Linked DNA regions of Cricetulus griseus. The protein of the gene in region 3 interacts with the protein of the main gene of each other region in a pairwise test. Links are inferred from orthologs where the notes say so. Each region holds a gene or a part of one and is shown on either strand. Other genes may lie near its edges. The genes, in order: Dppa4, Ap1m1 and protein LDOC1-like.

Region 1 (3,753 bases), on a different chromosome or scaffold from region 3:
AGGATTAAAGGCTTGTACCACCACTTCCCAGTGGACTTTATAAACTATTAAGAGTAGGCAGATAGAAATGTACAGTTTTAAACCAGGTTTAGAGGCCTGAATTCCAGCACTGGGCAGGCTGAGACAGGAAGAACAGAAATGCAAACCTTGGCCAGGTGTAGTGAGGCCCCTTGATCCCAACATTCAGAAGCAGAAACTGGAAGATCTCTCTGAGCCCCAGGCCAGCCGGAACTTCATGAGACTGAAAGGAATTCACAAAAGTTGTCATTTTATTGGCTGTGGCTGTGGCTCAGTGGTAGACGGATTAGTATGCATAAACAAGGCTCTCCAAGAGCACTATCACCATAAAAACAAAACAAGCCCCCTGTGGTTTACAGAAAAGGAATTCACAAGGAACGAGAAATGGGTTGTTTTCCTCAAATCCAGGACTCTAATTTCATTCGCTAATTAGACAGGCTGTTCACACAGCTTGTTCGGAATTCTTTTGGGACTCCACTTTCCCTTTTCTTTTCTTTTCTTTTTTTTTTTTTTCTTTTTTTAAGATCAAGCTGGCCTCTAGGAGCTCAGAAAGATGCTCCTGTCTCAGGCAGCGGAACGGCAGGATTAAAGGCTTGTGCCACCCAACAATACTTGTAGTTTTTAGTTCCCCAGGAGCAGGGTGTGGCGGCTCATGACTCTAAGTCACACCTTTCTATGGCTGAGCAGACCCACCCTGGGAGTTTAGCTCATCTGGGCTGCAAAAGTAAGTTCTAAGCCAGTCTTCATTAAACACTAAAAAGCCTGCCACCGCCAGACTTCAGCACCAAAAATTGTTGGGGAGTGGGATCACGAGGGTGGTGGACGGAAGACAGCATCAAGGCAACAGGAAGTAGGAGGAGATTTCGAAAAGCTCACTGAGGCCAGAGGTCGTTTGGAAGCTGGAAGAATCTTCTTTCAGCGGTCTCATCTGATTTGAAGATGGAGCATGCTGAAAGCAAGGAGGTGAGAGCTGTTTTGTTTTGTTTTGTTTTGTTTGTGGCTCAGCTTTCTAAATAGGTGGGTCTCGTGCACACTCGGCCTTTGTTTGGGGGAGAGGAAGAGAACGAGAATTTGTTCCGTGCAGGTGTAGGGCTCAGCAGCGGGGCGCTCTTATGGCCTTAGACGAGGCGCCCCAGGGCCTGACTGCTGTAGGTGTAGTAGAAAGGGCGGTTGTGTTTTGGAAAGGGATGTTTTGCTTGGAAGGAATTTAGAGTACTGTGGCTGGAGGAAAGTGGTCACAAGGTAAAGCAGGTAAGATGAACCAGAGGCTTTTGGATAGCTGTCTGCTATATACCGGTGGAGAGCCAGAGGCCTTGGCCCACGAATCCTAGCTGAAGGGTTTCTAGGGCTTTCCAAGGGGAAGGCAGACTCAGAGGGACAAACCTTGCTGGTGCCTGACTGCAGGAGCCAGACTCGTGAGTGTGCTCCAGGTCTCCTTCCCAAGTTCCCGTCATTTCCAACTTTATTGTGTAAAAATTTTGTTAGGTCTAAAACTGAATTATTTGTGAAAAGGACACGCAAATGTAAAGCTGGATTGCGAATGTGAAGCTAGTTCCTATTGAGATGCAAAATAGCATCCAAATGTTAATTTATCTCACACTGCTGCTCTTGGGGGTGGAAGTCTGGCTTGGAAAGGCCTTACGTTTGGGAGCAAACTGACCAGGGTTTGCTTTTATTCATATATTTACTTATCTGCTGTTTTGAGACAGGGTTTCTCAATGTAACTGCCCTGACTGCCTTGGAACTCACTCTAGCCTCCTATTCACAGAGATCTGCCTGCCTCTGCATCCTGGATACTGGAATTAAAGGCACGGGTCACCACCACCACCCAGTTTATTTATAAAATAAGTTTATTTTACAACCCAGTGGTGGTGTCCTCCCTCCTCTCTTCCTAAACCTTCCCCCCAAGCCTGCCCCCGCCCTTTCGGTTCAGGAAAGGGCAGGTCTCCCATGAGTATCAACAAAACGTGGAATATCAAGTTGCAGTAATACCAAACACCTCCCCATGTATTAAGGCTGGGCAAGGCCACCCAGTCTGTGGAGTAGGGTCCCTTGCCTGTAAAGGAGTTTGAGATAGCCCCTGTCCCCGTTGTTAGGGATCCCCCAAGAGGACCAAGCTACCCAACTGTGTAACCTATGCAGGGTACCTAGGTCCCATGCAGGCTCCCTGGTTTTCCATTCAGTCTCTGTGAACTCCTATGAGCCCAGATTAATTGATTCGGTGAGTTTTCTTGCAGTATCTTGACCCCTCTGTCTTCTACAATCTTTCCTCCCCATCTTCTGCAGGATTCCCAGAACTCTTAATGTTTGACTATGACTCTGCATCTGTTTCCATCAGTTGCTGGATGAAGCCTCTCTACTGACAGTCTATGAGTATAGCAGAATATCGTTAGGCACCATTACATTGATAACTCCCCTCCCCCCGTAGTCGTATTTGTTTCTGTCCTAGGTCTCTGGGTCATCCAGCCTGTGGGTTCTGGTGTTCCGAGCAGTGTTGGGGTGTGCTCATTCTCCTGCCATGGGTTTTAGGTGGCCTGGCAAGAGACCCCACTCTTGTGGAGTTCTGCTCACAGAAGGGACCTCATGAATGGTTGCAGTCAGTCGACACGTAGAAATGAGGCAGTATGTGGTTAATTGACTGCAAAGAGATTCCAGCAAAATAACACTTGAAATGAGACCAAAGGAGTAAGGTATAAGAATTGAAGTAGACTTTTTGGGCTTAGAACCAAGGTCTGGGGAAAAACAATCTTTGGGGTGAGAGATAAAATGGAGGAATATGCAGGCTGCTTTCCCCCAAAAGCAGACTAGCACTCTATTGTCTTTTGTCACTTTCTCCCTTTTGCTTTTGTTTATATCTCATCTTGTACTTTTGATTTTGTTCTTTAGCCTCAACTTGGCCTGAGGCTCATTATGGCTTCTAACTCCCTTGGTGACCCTCCACTTGCTGCCCAAGGCTAAGATTGCAACTATAACAACGTATTTTTTTTTTCTCTTTCCTTCAAAGAGTCTCACAGGGGACTCACAAATTGTTCACACGCTTTTAATCCCAGCACTGGGAGACAGAGGTGGGTGGAACTCTGTGGTGAGTTCCAGGACAGCCAAGGCTGTTGTTACACACAGAGAAACCCTGTCCTTGAAGAAGAAGACAAATCTCCTAGTGCTAGGGTTAAAATTGTGTTGCCAACAAGCCTGTTTTTCCTGCTGGCACCCTCTCATTTTCCCCCAACCATTGTTTCCTTATTTCATTAAGTCAGACTGCTTATTCAAATGATGGCCCCTTAGAATTCACACTGGCAGCCATATGCAGTGACCTCATGAGGACCATAGATGTTAGTTTAGAGCAAGGAAGGAGATATGCTGGTTCAAGACACCAGATAACTGTGTAACTCCTCCATCCACAGTGCAGCAGCACAGGAGTGGCTTGCGAAGAGGAATGCCAGATGTTTAGTCAACCAAGTACATCCTTTGTAAAAGTTCCAGCAACGGGGAAGAGACAGAAAAAGACAGTGAAAGAGAATGGTGAGAGTCTGTGAATGCTTAGTCCTACGTCTTTTTATCTAAAACTTAAGAAATCTTCCTTAAGCATAGAAAAAGGGTGGAAAAGGCCTGTATGTACTCCTGAGGTCTAAGAGTTCCCAGCTCTCTTTTAAAAAGAAAGAAAAGGGGTGGGGCTGGAGAGATGGCTCAGAGAGGTTAAAGCGCTGGCTGCTCTTCCAGACGTCCTGATTTCAATTC
Region 2 (3,653 bases), on a different chromosome or scaffold from region 3:
TCTCCGAGTACTTTAAGGAGCTGGAGGAGGAGAGCATCCGGGACAACTTCGTCATCATCTACGAGCTGCTGGACGAGCTCATGGACTTTGGCTACCCCCAGACCACGGACAGCAAGATCCTGCAGGAGTGAGTGCGGGGCTGACAGGAGCAGGCCACGTGTCCTGGACAGTGCAGCCTGGGATGCCAGCTCCCCACTTGACAGGGAGACCAGGGAAAGCTGCCACTCTGCTTTTCTGGTGGGGTGGGGTCAGTGGGTGGCCCAGGGCTCAGTCCCTTCCAGGTGCCCACAATGCTGACTACTTGACTCCCCGTTCCCACCCTACACCAGCACCTTGCCTCTGAAAGTAAATGTGTACAGCCCACTCACCATAGCCAGCCACACCATACCTAGTGAGAGGCCGCTCCCGGGAGCCTGCTGATGTGGGTACTTCCAGTGGTTGGGCCTTCCCTGCTCCATAGCCCCACCCCGGTGTCAAGGCCCAACATTGCATGTTCCCCTCTATAACTGAGTGGGTGGCCCCATAGGTACATCACTCAGGAAGGCCACAAGCTGGAAACCGGGGCCCCTCGCCCCCCGGCCACTGTCACCAATGCTGTGTCCTGGCGCTCGGAGGGCATCAAGTACCGGAAGAACGAAGTGTTCCTGGACGTCATTGAGGCGGTTAACCTCTTGGTAGGCCAACTTTTCCCTTCCTTTCCTAACTTGCCGCTTTTCCAGGGTGAAAGTCAGAGGGATAAGACTGAAAACCAGCAGAGCTGTCAGGTGTGTAATCCTAGGCCTTGGCAGCAGATGGCAGGGCTTAGTTTTGGCCATTGGAGAGACCCAGCCTCCCTCTCACTTAGAATCTGTAGGGACAACATTGTGGTGGCTTTGAGAGACTGAGGTAGGGGGACCTCGAGTTCTAAACCTTCCAGGTCACACTGTCTAAGAAAAACAAAACTAGAAGGGTCCCCAAGATGACTCAGCAGGTAAAGGGCTTCTCACAAAGCCTGACCATCTGCTTTCCATCCTGGGACCTATGGTGGGAAAAGAGAACTGACTCCTGCAAGTTGCACCTCACACATGTGCACTCACACACACAAATAATAATTACAACTTAAGAAATACAGGGCCAAGGAGATGGCTCAGTGAGCCAAGTTGCTGTTTAAGCCTAATGACCAAGCTCCATCCCCAGAGGCCTGAGAAAGGTGAAAGGAGAGAACACCACAAAGTTGTCTTCTGGCCTCCACATGGAGGTGGTGACACCCGACAAATACTTATCATATACACTCATACACAGTCAAAATAACATTTTAAGTAAAAAAATAGGTATATCAGCAGAATGCTTAGGTACAAGTGTGAGGACAAAAGTTCCGATCCCAGCACACGAGTGGAAGCTGAGTGGGGTGGTGTACACTGTAACCCCAGCACTGATGGTTAAGGACAGGGTAGCCCAGCCAAATGAGATCTCCAACTCAGTAAGAGACCCTGCCTCAAACAAAGGAGGGGGAATCATAGGGCAAGATACTTGATGTGAAACTGTGGCCTCCAGGCGCTCACACACAGGCATGTGCACACATGTAAAACCAAACTCATAAAGCATTATAAAGCTGGAAAGCCAGCTCTGTTACCAAGAGACCCCAAAAGATCACATATCCCAAGACTGCTACTTTTCTAGAATGCTGAGATCTTGGGTGGCTTGTGCTTTTGGGTTGTGTGTTCCTTGCTTGGTGTTTGGTGTTTGTGGTAGTAGGTGTGGACCCCAGGAGCTCTGTGCACAGGGTGTATTAGTTACTTGTCTGACTGTCACAAAATATCTGACAGGTGCAACTTCAGGGACAAAGGGTTCATTCTGCATCACAGCCTGTCACAGTTGGGAAGTTTGATGACAGGAGTATAGGCAGCTGTCACATGGTGTCCACAGTCAGGAATCAGATCGAAGAAGGCTGCGGTTCTGCTTGCTTCCTTCCTTTCACTCATCCAGAACTGCAGCTTGTGGGAAGGGGCCCTCACATGCTGGGTGGGCCTTCATAACTCAGTTAACCCAATCTAGAGACTCCCAGACCTGCCTCTACCCAGAGGTCTGTCTCCTGGGTGACTCTAGAGCTGTCAGGTGAACAGTCAAAAGTTACCATCACATCAGGCAAAACATTTTCATGGTGTGTGTGTATGTGCGTGCGTGCATTCAGGGGTGTATGTATGTGTATTTGTACATGTATGTATGTATGTACTTGTGTGTATCTGCATGAAGGGTGTGTATATGTGTAGTGTGTGTGTGTGTGTGTGTGTGTGTGTGTGTGTGTGTGTGTGTACCCACAGAGGCCAGTAAAGGAGTAGGGTCCACTGAAGTTGCAGTCACTGTTGTAAGCCTCCTGACATGAGTGCTGGGAACCTGGTCCCAGTGGGTTTTTTTTATTAGGTCTTGGATAGTGTATGCTCTTACAACCTGTTTCCTTTGGTTTGGTTTGTTTATTGTAGTTTGGCTTTTGTAAAAGGGTCTCACTATGTAGCCCTGGCTGGCCTGGAATTCTCAGAGATCCATTTGCTTTTGCCCCCAAAGTGCTGGGGTTAAAGCTGTGCACCTCCATACCTGGCCTTGGTTTTGTTTTGTTCTAGTACAAGGTCTTTCTATTTAGCCCTGGCTGGCATGGAACTCATGGAAATCTCTGAGCTAAATGAGATGTCTCTGCCTCTTTATTCAAAGCAAAAGAATTGAGCATGATGCTAAATACTGATGCTGACAGTCTTTTTCTCTAGTGAGCCAACTGAGCAGATGGTGAGAAGACAGAAAGGGGAACAGCCTGAGCTTGAAGCATCTGGCACTAGTACAGAGAGTCCACATTGAGTAAGACAGACAGCACTACCATACTTGAACACACAGACATCTGCCTGCCTCAGGTTCCCAGTGCTGGGACGACAGGAGTGTACCCCCACGCCTGCTGGCTCTTCCTCTATCACTGCACTTCCCTTTGTATTAGTTGCTTTTCTCCTGCTATGGTAAAACACCGTGACCAGGGCAGCTTATTAAGAGAGAGTTTACTGGGCGTATGGTTTCTAGAGGGTTAGGGTCCATAATGTCAGGGCCAGCATGGCAAGTGGCAGACATGGTGTCTGGAGCTGAGCGCTGAGCCCTCTGGCTGCAAACATGAAACAGACAGTGTGAACAGGGAATGGCATGAGGCTTTGAAACCTGAAAGCCCATCCCCACCATTCTCCAGCAAGACCACACCTTCTAAGTAAGCCCCCCTGAACAGCACCAACGGGGGACCATGTTCAAATGCCTGAGGCTGAGGACGGCATTTCTTTCAGACCACCACACCTTGTCCTTCTACTTGGAATCTGCCCACATCTTAATCAAAGTGAGTTCTGGTAGGAGCATCATTTTTTTGTTTGTTTGGTTTTGGTTTTGGTTTTGTTTTCCGAGACAGGGTTTCTCTGTGTGGCTTTGAAGCCTATCCTGGCACTCGCTCTGGAGACCAGGCTGGCCTCGAACTCACAGAGATCTGCCTGCCTCTGCCTCCTGAGTGCTGGTATTAAAGGCGTGCGCCACCAGTGCCCAGCAGGAGCATCATTTTTAAAACCTAACCTGAGACGGTGCCTAGTAGCACCCATCTGTCTTTCCAGAAACTAGAAGACTGAAGCAACAAAATCATAATTTTGAAGCCAGTCTGA
Region 3 (2,568 bases):
GGACAGAGCAGCTGGCAAAGCTAAGCCCCTTTGCTGCACTGACTGACATTTCAAAGGGGACGCACCTGATGATATTTAATATAATAAATACTACGTAGGTAAGTGAAGTAAGGGTTGGAGCTGTACATGCCGACAGACAATTCACATATAGATGAGACAGTTTGGGAAGCCCTTTCTCAAAGTAGTATAAAATGAGGTAGGCAAGTAAAGGGGGAAAGATAGCTAGAAGGGACAAAGGCTCTGAGATTAGGCGAGATCTGCTTGATGTGTGCAGGAATTAGCAGGCGAGGCAGAGATTAGGACAACAGGAGGTCATGTAAAAAGGGCATGCAGAAGGAGGTCCTTGTATGTTACGACCAAGGGTTTGCTTTTTATTCAGAGCAGCAGAGAGGGAAAAACTGCTGGAGAACGTCGAAATGGGGAGTGAAAGGCTCTAACTCACATTCTAAAAGTGTTCTGAGGCTATTCTAGAGAATATGCAGAAAAGGGGAAGAATGACAGCTAAGGGATTAGATGTAGCAGACCAGACCGTGAAAGAAGGCTGGGATCGAGGTAGCAGAGATGCCCGGAAGTGACTGAATGTGGAGATGTATTTTAAAAAGCAGACCCAATAGCTATCAGCTCAAGGATCCTGGACCAAACTTAGTTATCGACAACTAATGACGTTTAAAATAGGCAGACAAAGTTATTTTACAGAGCTCATCACAGTTTATAACTTAGGAACAAAGGCACTGATAACAGGAATATGGAAAGAATCAAAGATAGAATGTTGGCAAATGGATACTCTGTGCAGATTTGGAGATCTTTTGGTGAAATTGTCTCAACTGAAGAGAAGCCCCTGTTGACAATTACTTATGTATTTAATGAAAGCACCCCTTGCAAGTCTTGAAGTCTCTAAACTCAAATGATCTCCCGCAGTATGACCCTCAGTGTCAGTGTTATTTCTCTGGGTGAAATTTAAACAAGCAAGGAAATGTGTTAAGAAAGCATTACTCTAAAAAAATGTTGATGGCTGCAGGCCCACCGAGGAACACTGTATTGGATGAACAGGTCGGCTGCAGAGAAGTTTAAGCTGAAGCAGGCCAGCCCTGAGTGCTGAGCTTCTATGCTCGCACAGCCCTCCACTGTGGCAGGCTTGGCTCCCCCAGCGTTTCTTCATCAGGCTGGGGGAATTGACAGAGGCCCGGGGCGATGCTCCCTTGGTCACGCCTTCCTCCTCCTGGGCCACGTCCACTCGGTCCGTCAGTCCCACCCTGGCCACACCCCCACGCCACCAGCACTCCCCTCCGCCACGCCTTTCTCACCGCAGTGCGCTGGCGCATTGGCTGCCAGAGTGACCTTGTGGGTGGAGCTTCCGCCACCAGCTAGACCCCCTCTGCGCAGTGCCCAGGGTCAGCACTCCTCTGAGGACACGCACTTCCTCTACGGCCTCCTTGAGCAGCTCCGCGGAGCCGATCCGAGCCCGAGAGCCCGAGACCTGCCAAGCGAGTCACCATGGTGGACGAGCTGGTGTTGCTTCTGCACGCGCTGCTGGTGCGACACCGCGACCTGTGCATCGAGAACAACCGGCTCATGAAACAGCTGCGGCTGCTGGTGTGTGAGCGGGCCATTCTGCTGCGCCAGGTACGTCCGCCCAGCTGTCCGGTGCCCTTCCCCTCACCGTTTAATGGCGAGAACGCCCGGCTCCCCGAGTTTATTGTGCAGACGATGTCCTACATGCTTGTGAATGAGGACCGCTTCTGCAACGACGCCATGAAAGTGGCATTCCTGATCAGCCTCCTCTCCGGGAAAGCCGAGGATTGGGTGGTGCCGTACATCCAGACAGATAGCGCCATTCTCTGTGATTATCGCGCGTTTGTTGAAGAGATGAAGCAGTGTTTTGGCTGGTATGACGACGAAGATGATGATGATGATGATGACGACGACTGTGAAGCGGTTGATTGCTAGGCCCCGAGCCCCCTTAGGCCTACATGAGGAGGACCCTGCACGCTGCGTCCTCCCTACCCCCACCGCTACTCCTGCTGCCTCCGTGCCCCCCTTTGCATTGCCATTCTCTTCCCTGCCAATCACTTCGCTCCTTCATCCCTTTTAGTGCTTGTCTTTGTGCCAATTACCTGCTACGAGTGCTTGAGTTGGGCCTGGGCCTGGCTCTGAGGTTCACAGTGTTCAATTTTAACCAATCCGGGCACCTTTCTAATCTGAACTGTGTTTTGAGCTCCAGCCATTGTCCAGGCCTGTGTTAGAACTCGTCAGACCACCTGCATTCCTGCCGCTGGCTTCTGATGGATCGCCATCTACATCTGCCAGAAGTGGATGCCTGTCACCTCACCCCCCCCCACCACCACCCCCCACTGCATCTCATCTGCAGCCATCCACTTTTCAAGATATGGACCAGGAAGAAGATGATGGAGTTGGCTACATCTATTCAGACTCTCATTTGGACAGTTCACCAACCCTCCTAGAAGGGGCCATTCTTACAGCCTGGTTAGTTCTGTACCTACTTCCAGGTTCCTCCTCTGCCGGACCAGATTGCTGCAGGAGCCTGATGTGCCTGCCTGACTGTTGAAA

What was found.
Region 1: the proteins of protein LDOC1-like (region 3) and Dppa4 interact in binary tests that used the Homo sapiens proteins (3 or more experiments, as listed by UniProt). The two-hybrid records come from large-scale screens. The link is inferred for Cricetulus griseus from reciprocal best matches to the Homo sapiens genes LDOC1 and DPPA4.
Region 2: the proteins of protein LDOC1-like (region 3) and Ap1m1 interact in binary tests that used the Homo sapiens proteins (3 or more experiments, as listed by UniProt). The two-hybrid records come from large-scale screens. The link is inferred for Cricetulus griseus from reciprocal best matches to the Homo sapiens genes LDOC1 and AP1M1.

The regions. Positions count from the first base shown.
Region 1 is NC_048597.1:42,777,678-42,781,430, reverse strand, and holds the start of Dppa4 (developmental pluripotency-associated protein 4), read left to right. Parts: upstream 1-957; coding exon 958-981; intron 982-3,419; coding exon 3,420-3,537; intron 3,538-3,753. UniProt on the Homo sapiens protein: May be involved in the maintenance of active epigenetic status of target genes. May inhibit differentiation of embryonic cells into a primitive ectoderm lineage.
Region 2 is NW_023276806.1:247,005,653-247,009,305, forward strand, and holds part of Ap1m1 (AP-1 complex subunit mu-1), read left to right. Parts: coding exon 1-127; intron 128-526; coding exon 527-674; intron 675-3,653. UniProt on the Homo sapiens protein: Subunit of clathrin-associated adaptor protein complex 1 that plays a role in protein sorting in the trans-Golgi network (TGN) and endosomes.
Region 3 is NC_048604.1:11,336,460-11,339,027, reverse strand, and holds protein LDOC1-like, read left to right. Parts: upstream 1-1,494; coding exon 1,495-1,947; downstream 1,948-2,568. UniProt on the Homo sapiens protein: May have an important role in the development and/or progression of some cancers.